Drosophila melanogaster: one gene and its partner. The protein of the gene in region 1 interacts with the protein of each later gene in a pairwise test. Each region holds a gene or a part of one and is shown in the gene's direction. Other genes may lie near its edges.

Region 1 (4,363 bases):
TACTTTAAGAATCTACTGCGGAAAATCCCAGGCTGCTGCAAGCCCAAGTCCAAACCTACGCAAATAAGCTAGTGAATTTTACAGTATCACCACCCTCAAGCCAGCCCAATCGGCTATCTACCTGCCACCCGACCACCAAGGGATCTATCCAGATCACAGGATCGTCCCTGCTCACGGCAATCCCAGTTTATGAATGAATTTACTAAATGAGCTCAGTCGTGAATGAAATGTTCTCCGCGGACCGCGTTTTATGGACGGTTCTACATATACATAGGTACTAACAAACCCACAACAACCCAGCCATGCCGCTGCACTCATTAGCATTGGTCGAACAATGCAGTTGGACGTAATCCCAATGATTTCCCTTTTGTTCTAAATGGCAGGACAGGGGCATAAGGCGCTAGGCCTGCGGAATGCACCTTCCCTAGAAAGCAGATATCTTTTAGGAAGTTATTATCGCTTTGGTCCGATGACAGCAGTTTTATACTCTTTTAAAAAACAACAAAACGAAAATATTTCGTTCAATTCCGCAAATCTTTCTTTTAATTCTAGCAGCAAACATTTTTATGATTATATGCTGTATCCGTCGTCTCTTGATTAGAATTAGAATTTGATTTCGAAATTATTTCAGGTATCTGTCGAAGAATATAGAGGTATATAATACATTTGGCTGCAAAAATAGGAGGCATATATTCATAATTTAGAGAAGGCTTACTTCCAATGCTTGTTGACTAGAAAATAAGATTGAACTCAGAACACTACTAATCCTATCGTGGGAATCCTTAGAGGGTATGTATTAATATTAAGTACCATTTTCCCTTTAAACTCAAATTCATACAGAAAATTGGAGTGGAAAGTAAACGCAACAGCAATTTGTAGCGGCTACCAATGCATGCGAAAAACTTGTGAACTTAAACACGAACTCTTAAAGCCAATATCGCCTTCTAAATTAAAACATTAGGTGTAGCAACGCACATTCAGCCAAAGTATGTTGTATCTGTTCTCGTAGTCTGCAGCCAGAATCGCGTTAGGGCAAACGCCTCCACGAGCCAGTAAAGTTTTTCTCAAGCACCCCCAGAGATAAAGATAAAGTTTAGGCGAACTGTACCAACTGAACAACACGCTCAAGCCTGGCAATCTCTGCAAATCCTGCCCAGCTGCTTGGCCCGCACTTTGCATATTCGTGATGTCGCGGAGCCACCCTCGAACAAGCACTTAATTTAATAATAAATTGCTGCCACATCGGGCACAGGAAACCCGAACCGCAGATAACCGAATTATACATTTGGAGAAGTATCTGTGTCTGGACGGAGGGAAGGAGGAGGAAACTGTGACTGGGAATGGGTATAAGATTGGGAGTGGGATTGGGATTGGGAGAGTGGGCCAAGCCAAGCCCAAAGCCAACCACCCGGGAATCATGGTCGGTGGGTGGGTGTGAGTACAATTCATAACATAACCGTGAAACGCAAATGCTCTGCTAAAGTTGCGCCCAAATCGGAGGCACCGCGCTGCTGGGATCGCCTGGGCCCAGTATATGTAGTACGGAGTGGAAAGAGTAGAAAGCGCAAGTTAGGAAAGCTGCCCGCCACTCGGTCGGGAGTTCGATTTTCCGGACCGGGAAAACTACGCAGGACTACACGCACACACCAGCGCCTTATATACTTCAGCTGCGAGTGTGTGTGCGAGCGGGCCGCCATTGTTGTGCCCTCGAAACCGAACCGAACCGAATCCGTGCCCGTTTCTGAAAGCGAAACCCACCCCGAAGCATCCCTCTCGCTCGCACATCCTCAGACAGACAAATAATCGATGAATGAAGCGACCCTCAGTGTGCGTGTGCGTGTGCGGGTGAGTGTGTATGTGTGTGCGCGTGTGTGTGAACGCAGGACGAATGACTGCCTGGGTATACGAAGTGTAGGTAGCCAGAGTCCTGGGTTTAAATTGAGAGGCGTCGGGGCAGGAGAGCTCAGTTCGAGTCGAGATCTCGCAGCACACACACAGCTCCGCACAACCAAATCAAGTCCAAAATCATAATCACAAGTGTTCCATCCAAGTGATTTAGTGTCGCGAGAGAGCAATTTAGACCTTCCATTAAAACTACTGCAAAATGTCGACGATTAACCTGCATCCCCCGCAAACCTACTCGCGACTTTTCCGACCCTGGGATACTCAGCGCCAGGCGGCGACCTCGGCGGCACCCAGGACAGTGAAGCAGGAGCCGGAGGCGATTACCATCAAGACGGAGCTGGCCAGCAGCAGTTTCGGCCACGACTGCGACGGAGACTTCTCCTCCGCATCCTCCTCTGCGTCAAGCAGCAGCAACAGCAGCAAGTCCTGCTACGAGGAGGCCCTGAACCACAGCAGCTACACCCGCACTTCCACCCCGCTGCTGGACGCCGCCCCGCACCCCGTCTTTTCACACCCGCAGTCGTCGCCGTTGGACACGCACGCCGCCGCCACCGCATCCTTGGCTCCGCCAAACCAGCACGCTCCATTCCTGTCGGCCGCCAGCGATCTCTACTACGCTGCCGCCGCCGCAGCAGCCGCTGCTGCCTCCACGCCCACTGCCGTCCCGGGCTTCGGCATGGACCCGTTCACTATGGGCCTGATGGAGCAAGAGTACGCCCGCGTGATGGCCGAGGACGCACAGTTAAAGGCGCTCAACAGCCGCAAGCAGCGGCCGAAGAAGTTCAAGTGCCCCAACTGCGACGTGGCCTTCTCCAACAACGGCCAGCTGAAGGGCCACATCCGCATCCACACCGGTAAGTCGACCAGAACACATCTGACCCCGAGAGTCCCACTCACTTATCTCCATTCTGTTCTGCAGGCGAACGCCCATTTAAGTGCGACGTGAACACATGCGGCAAGACCTTCACCCGCAATGAGGAACTGACGCGTCACAAGCGAATCCACACCGGACTGCGGCCGTATCCTTGCAGTGCCTGCGGAAAGAAGTTTGGCCGACGCGACCACTTAAAGAAGCACATGAAGACGCACATGCCGCAGGAGCGCCAGCTGGGCCCGTCCATCTTCGTGCCCATGTACTCATACCTTTATGGCTACTGAGAGGGAAATCCTGGCGAGCTTTCCCCTTGCCACGCGACCCTGCATTCCAGCGATCTGTAAAGCGCTTGCACGCTTTAAACAAGCATTACCGAACCGAATCCAACGAAACGAAACTTAACGCCAGCAAAAACTGCCTAGCCAATCGTGGACAGAACTACCTCAGCCGTACCTGGCGCAATGTGGCGCACTCACCAAACCCAATCTTTGGACCTCGACGATATATGCAAATATTGAGATATTTATTTTTTAACGCGTATTTACACTTCCAGCTACGTGACTGGTTATGATATTCGGCACATGTGTAAATAATCCCTAAGTGATCCTTCCTCATATGCTAAGCGATTAAGAAATTTAAGAGATGCCCGGATTTACGTCTAAGTTATACTAAAGCTGATACTTTAACAGTTTTATAAGCTGATCGTGGTTACCAGATACATACGATTTATACACAAAATTATACGATCATGGTTATATCTGAGAGTTGAATTATACGATTTATGTTTACAACACAAAATACACAAGAAAAACCGTACAAGAAAGACCTTTATTACCTGGGCGGTGTTAGAAATGAGGAGAAATGTACATAGAACTTGCAATTTTGTTCCCCAATGATTAAATGCATAGTTCCATTACGAGTATACGAGGAGCTAAAAACCAAGAACCATTACCTTTACATGTTAATGATCCACTGTCACTTCCCGTTAACCAGATCGTGCGACAAACCGCTCGTCATGCCGCCAATATCAAAGGCAAATCGGAAAATCGCATTTGAACTGTCATAAAAGGATTAAAAGGCACAAGTCATTTGGTCCGAATCTATCCAAATTTCATTCACAAATTACCCAAAATGAAACAGCACCCCAGACAAGCTGAAACCGACCAAGCCGCGATAATGAGCAGCGCCAAAACTAAGGGAAAAGTGCATTCGTGTCGCTGGCAATCTTTCCCACAGTCCTCTTTCGGTCCAGATGTGCCCACGTAAATTCGCCATTACTCAGCTGACAGCTTGCGTCATTCATTAGGACAATAAAGTGGTTCACCTGAGCAAAGAGACCTAGACACAGTGTCTGCGACAAGTCGAAAAATTACCTATGTGTTTTTGTTTGGAATTCGTTGTTCGAACAGCAATCGATTCCTGGTCACTATCAATGGCACTTCTAAAAGCGGACAATAGGTGCAGTTTATGAAAGCGGATCTAGGTGGACACCCAGCTTCCCGGACAATCGAAAATTTGTCCGCTTGATAGGGGCGTGCAGTCCTTACATTACGTGTCCCCTACCTGCTTATTGTTTTTCTCGGG
Region 2 (5,978 bases), on another chromosome or scaffold:
GATAGGTTTGGATCTATCAAGATCTAGATGTAGATCTAGATCTAGGTCTAGGGGCTCGCTACTTACGCGGCTATTCTTGTACATGCGATTTATATCTAACGCTGTGAATTTGGGCTTGGCATTTCGCTCTCCCCTACTTCCCCCCAGTGTACTCATGCTGCCAATAGATCCTCATTAGCGTTAGCTTCCTTCTCGCCACCGCCGCGCTCCTCGTCTTCCCGCTGCGCTGGAGGATGGGCTAGGATGTGGCTGTGGTTCTTGACGAGAATGAGTTTAAGGAGCTGGGATCGCTTTTGGGCCGAAGCTCCTTGTTTCAGTCTTTCTGGTGGGCTGCAAAATACAAAAGCGTAGATAGGCATTTAATTGAGTATAGGTGCAGGCGTAGCGAGGCGAGGCTAGTCAGTTGCAAGTGGGTGGTGCTCCCGACAAATTGTTTTCAACACGCTGGTTATTGTGTGTCCGGGAACTCCTCTATTTAGCCACCCCCAACCGATCCGCACCACTAACGCTTACAGAGGTGGATCTGTAGCGAAAATTGGTTCTTCTTAGAAAGATATTGCAAATAATTTGGAAAATAACCTCTTCAAACAATAATAGGTATGGGTTTCAACTAAACCGAGTTTTAGTAGAAATGCTTTTGATATTTCATTTCCACTGAAACTAAAGAAGTTTCTTGGTAGTTTTCCAACACATGCTGTTGCGAAATACGTTCAAGTTCTTAATGCTTCGTTAAAGTAACAACTAGAGTGTAATTCCATTCGACTACTACCATTCGAAACTGTTTGTAGAATCATTTGGTATTTTGTTGATATTGCGTTTATTACGAAAACGTTTGGGGCAACTATTTCCCAGTTTCGCTCCCCCCTTTGATCCGACACTGAATGCAGGCAATGTTTGGTGCGAGCAGGACAGCCAGTGCCTCGCAGCACACGCAACTGAGAGGCTGCCTTGGGCGGGTGACAGCGGAAGCGGGACAGCTAGATAGATTTACCCACACACACACACCAGCGCCAGCAGCGGCAGAAGCGGCAACGCATTGAAAGAATTTTTTGCGGTGGCGTCTTGTAATAATTGCGGCAGGGGGCGTGAAGGGGCGGCCGAACAATGGCTGACAACTACAGCAACAATAGAAAAAACGGGGCCAGTAAAATCCTCGCAACAAGAGCGACAACAACAAAGGCCGGCATTTAAAATGTAACCAATTTGACAGATGCAAGTGGGGGGAGTACAAGACAATCTAAACGCTTGGCAACAATTCTATGTCTCCTTTTTGTAATAACAACCATTCACAAGCACAACGCACACTAACACCACGCAGGCACAGGCGCACACATCACGCACACACACACACTTACGTTCGCAGAAACCGAGAGGATTTGATAGTTATTATTTAATCGACGAGTGCAATTTTTTTTTTTGACCACCTTTTGTTTTACAGCCGTATCCTTTTATTAATTTTGCATGGCACAGTGGCTGGCAAAGGCAAACAAAGAGGAGAGACGAGTAAAATATACCGTTTAAACAGCACGCACGCACACAGCAATACACTCGGGGAGTTTCGTTTGTTGGGCAGCGATGATAAACTGAATGGAAAACGCTTGAATTTGTTTACTTCGAATGTTTCGCGGTCTGCTGGCACACTTGGCCGCCTGTATGTTGGTTATTTAACTGTTAACTTCGCGGAAATTGATATCTTTTGATTCTGCTTTTCACCGTCCAACATAAAGTTTGCCGCTAATTCTTCTTCCTCGAGTTCTTCCTCTACCACTTCTCACTTTTCGAATGTATTGCGTGCGTGAGTGGTGTGGAGCGCGGCGTTGCCACCTGGTCCGTTGGGATCCAGCCAGACCGCCGAGTGAAACTAATTCCGGGGGTGGCAGTCGCCTGGCAATTATTAAACAATTAGAGAGCGTGCTATTTAGCGATTAAACGGAAATTAACACGGACTCTATGCATCGATGCCGACAAAAAGAGAAAACGGACCACGATGACCTGCCGACGACAAATGCAACGCTGTTTGCGATATAGAGCGGGACAACATGACTAGCTGAACTTCCCTCCCACTCCCACACGTCGAATTTGACAGAACCGACAAAAATATTTCTTTGATACAATGCGTATTTTCTACAAACAAAATCACAGATTTACAAACCCGCTGTGCAATTAAACATAATTTAGCAAACAAATCTCGGTTCCGGCCTACTTCCAGAGCGAGAGCATGAGAGACCATAGAGCTTACCCTTTCGCACGCAGAGCACACACCGCAAACACAGTTCGTTGCTCCTTGGCTTCTTTCTTTCCTTCGCCTTTTTTTTGCACTCTTTCTGGCGCTTACTCAGCGCCCGTTTCGCCGCTTGTTAAAACACGGGACGAAAACAAAAGAGAGCGCAACCAAGACGAGACGTGCCGCTGCTGCAGTTGTTGTTGTTAGTCGCCTTTGTTCGCCAGAATCTTCGATTTGGTTGAATTTCGATTTCGATTTGGTTGCGATTTTCGCTATGTTGCGCTGGCTTTGTCAGCGCTCTCGCTCCCACTCACTTGCACTGCGCTCTCCCACTCTCCGCTCACTCGCGCCGTCCCTCTCGCGCGCTGTCGCTTTTTTGCAAGTGTAGGTGGAAAATGGTATCGGGTGAGGAGGCTTCGAGTAAACCCGTTTGAATTCGCTTTTTCCACGGGTTTTTGCCTTTCCTTCGCTAGGTTTTAGCTCTGCACACACACTACACACGCACACGAGTTGCGTTTCTTATTTGTTTTGATTATTTGCGTTGCGTTCTTTTCACGTAATACGTAATTGTCCATTAGTTTTAAATCGTATGTATTATTTTTTTGCCATTTTACGGCAAGCGTTGCCAGAGTTGTGTGGGTCGATTGGCGTGCTGCCTGACCGTCCGCAGAATGCCATCGTTTTGATGTGTATCCAGCGATATATTAAGTTTCATATTTTCGATTTTTAATTAATGGATAATCGTTTACAGCGTATTTTGCAGACAATTAAAAACGTAGACCATAAATTGTAAGAGAAATTAAAGAGAAATACTCAACGATCAGGGTGGCCACCCCGCAAAAAACTCCTGAGATGAAGTTTTGCCATTCACAATTGGATTCTGTTATCGATTCACGATAGGTGAATTATGTTGTTTACAACGAAAAACTGTTTAAATTTTTTATTTATTTGACTTTGCGTTGTGGTTCTGTTCGCGCGAAATGATTTGTCGCCTTTGCCTGCGATGTCTTAGTCCCGGAAGCGCTGTCTTCCTCTTTGAGACGGACGATACGCTTGCGGAGACGCGCCTGGTCAAGATGATTGCGAAGTTTCTGCAGCTGGAGGTGAGTGTATCTGGCAAATACCAATGGTATCAAAACAATTCCAATAAGCCATCCCATGCAGATCCTACCAGACGACGGCATCTCGACCAGCGTCTGTACCGAGTGCTGTGAGCATCTGGAGGACTTCAATGGCTTCTGGCAGCTGGTGGAGCAGAAGCAGTGCTCACTCAAGAAGGAGTTCCTTACCGTGGACGTCGACTGTGCGGCCATGAAGTGGACGGGCGGTGTGGACGTGGACGTCAACATCGACGAACTGCCGCTGGCGGCTGGCGACATGGACGAGAAACCGTTGGACCTGCACAACCTTAGTCTGCTGGGAAGCGTGCTGGACGTGAATGTGGACAGTGTGGAAGTCAGGGAACCGATCAAGGAGCAGCTGCCCTGCGAGGAGGAGGAGGACGAGAAGCCCTGCCTGCAAGCTAGTGATAGCGAACCGGAGGTGACCGAGGGGCAGCCGGAATCTGAATCTGACTCCTCAGATGGTTATTATCTTAATGTTTCCCAAGGATTAGCCGTAACTAAGTTCCTGTTCCATTGCAGATGAACCCCTGGTCCGTCTGAAATCGAAAATGAAGCCCAAGCGCAAAACCTCGGCACGTTCCTCCAAGGATCAGGGTCCGATATCGCTGCAGCAGGAGCTTGCAGATCTGCTCGACGATGGTGGCAAGCGTCGGCGCAGGAAGGCACCTGACCAGCGAACAACCACCGAGTCGCAGGAGTCCGAGCTACAGGCCGTTCTCGAGCGCAAGCCCAAGGGCTGCTCCCGTGCTCAGCTGGCCAAGAGCTACGAGAAGGCCATTGCTAGCTACATGAGTGCAAGCTGCGACCTGTGCGAATTTAGTGCTCCCTACCTATCCGAATTGAAGACCCACTTCCTGGAGGTGCACCAGCGCGAGTACTACATCAAGTGCTGCGGCAAAGTCTTTACACGCGCTTCCAAGCTGATGGACCACATCCGCAAACATATCAACCCCAAGCTATTTACGTGAGTTTGAAGCCCGAGGGTTCTGTCTGTTGCTACATAGACTTTAAAATCCCATAGCTGCACCATTTGCAAGAAGTCGCTCAACTCGCAGGACTACTTGGCCACTCATATCGAGACGGTGCACAACAAGGTGGCTCAAATCGGCAAGGTGCTCAAGTTCCCGTGCCCCAAGTGCGAACGCACCTTCAGCAGCGAGCGCCGTATGGCCAATCATCTGGCCAAGCACGACACCGATCAACTGGAGCACACCTGCGAGATCTGCTGCAAAAGGTGAGAATAGAGCAGGGTCTCTGATCGAATTGGAATTCTTGCCCCATATTTGAATTAGTAATCTTTATTCATTCCACACGCAAATGAGAGGGATAGCTGTCTACTTATTCCGCACTCACACTGTTTCGAGAATAGCAAGAAAGAAATAATTTTTTTAAGATAAAAAAACTGTCTTGCAAGTTGAGTATTTGATATGAAATTATCTGTTACAGCTTTGCCAATGTACACCGCCTGCGAAGGCACATCCAATCCATCCACGAAGACCTGCATCGTCACGTTTGCGACATTTGCGGGAAGAAGTTCAAGTTCAAGCCCTCCTTCGAGCGCCATTTGCTGGAGCACCAGGGCGTCGTGGCCCCGGCTGTGGAGTGCCCCATCTGCCGTGTTTGGCTGAAGAACGAGCACAGCTTGCGCCTGCACCGCTTCACACACGACAGCACGGACACCGTGTGTCCGCATTGTGGCAAGACCTGCACATCGCGCACAGCGCTCCGCGGTCACGTCAAATATGCCCACAAGCTGACCACCAATCTGCAGTGCACGTTCTGCGAGAAAACCTTCAAGCAGCAGCGCAACCTGGACGAGCACATGGCCATCCACACGGGCCTGCAGCTGTACAACTGTCCGCATTGCCCCAAGGAGTGCCGTTCCCGCTCCAATATGTATGTCCACATTAAGCAGCGTCACGCGGACGAGTGGCTGCGCGCCAAGATGGCACGCTCGCACAATCCGCAGTTCAAACCGGCCGACGTTTAAACCTGACCCCTCACAATTGTGTTTAATCATTATACGTATAATTAAACTGTACTTCACTGGTTTCATTCTTATTAGAGGTATTTGTAGCGGACAATGCTTGTTAGAGGTAGATTATAAGATCTTTATTGAATCACATAGAAAAAAAATATGTAATTTTATGTGGAGCACAGATGATTTTTTGTTGTATGTATGATCCGTTGATCCGTTCATAAAGACGGATAACATCTCCAGGTGTCCATTCGATCAGTTTTGCAGAAGTCTGTCGAGCGAGGATGCGAGTTCTTTGGATATGGCGTCTGGAAACTGGATGGAGAACCTGACGACGATGGAGCCGCGACGGGAATTATTAATGGAATCGGGCAATCCGTAGCCCAGAATGCGGCGCACGGATTTCGGACTGATTACCTCGCCCACGTCGGTCTTGAGTTCCATCGGCCTGCCAAGAAGCGTCGGCACCATCACGTGTAAACCGCACAGAGCATCCTTCAGCGAGATTTCGGCTGTGTACAGCAGATTGTTGCCATCGCGGCGAAAGATTGGGTGTGGCTTGTCCCGGATTATAAACACGACGTTGGCGGGCTCAAGGTTGGGCAGTTGAATACCCTCATTGGGAAAGCAGATCTTGGTGCCAGCCTTACAG

The links.
Region 2: the proteins of hkb (region 1) and CG2889 interact in a two-hybrid assay, tested with the Drosophila melanogaster proteins (one large-scale study listed by BioGRID).

Annotation. Positions count from the first base shown.
Region 1 is NT_033777.3:4,344,245-4,348,607, reverse strand, and holds hkb (huckebein), read left to right. Parts: upstream 1-1,961; 5' UTR 1,962-2,104; coding exon 2,105-2,759; intron 2,760-2,824; coding exon 2,825-3,063; 3' UTR 3,064-3,593; downstream 3,594-4,363.
Region 2 is NC_004354.4:10,471,814-10,477,791, forward strand, and holds CG2889 (uncharacterized protein), read left to right. Parts: upstream 1-2,124; 5' UTR 2,125-2,272; exon of another isoform or gene 2,273-2,862; intron 2,863-2,902; exon of another isoform or gene 2,903-2,975; 5' UTR 2,976-3,204; coding exon 3,205-3,327; intron 3,328-3,388; coding exon 3,389-3,809; intron 3,810-3,867; coding exon 3,868-4,312; intron 4,313-4,369; coding exon 4,370-4,582; intron 4,583-4,794; coding exon 4,795-5,338; 3' UTR 5,339-5,388; downstream 5,389-5,978. Other genes in the region: nocte (no circadian temperature entrainment), read right to left, coding at 67-156; CG2887 (uncharacterized protein), read right to left, coding at 5,582-5,978.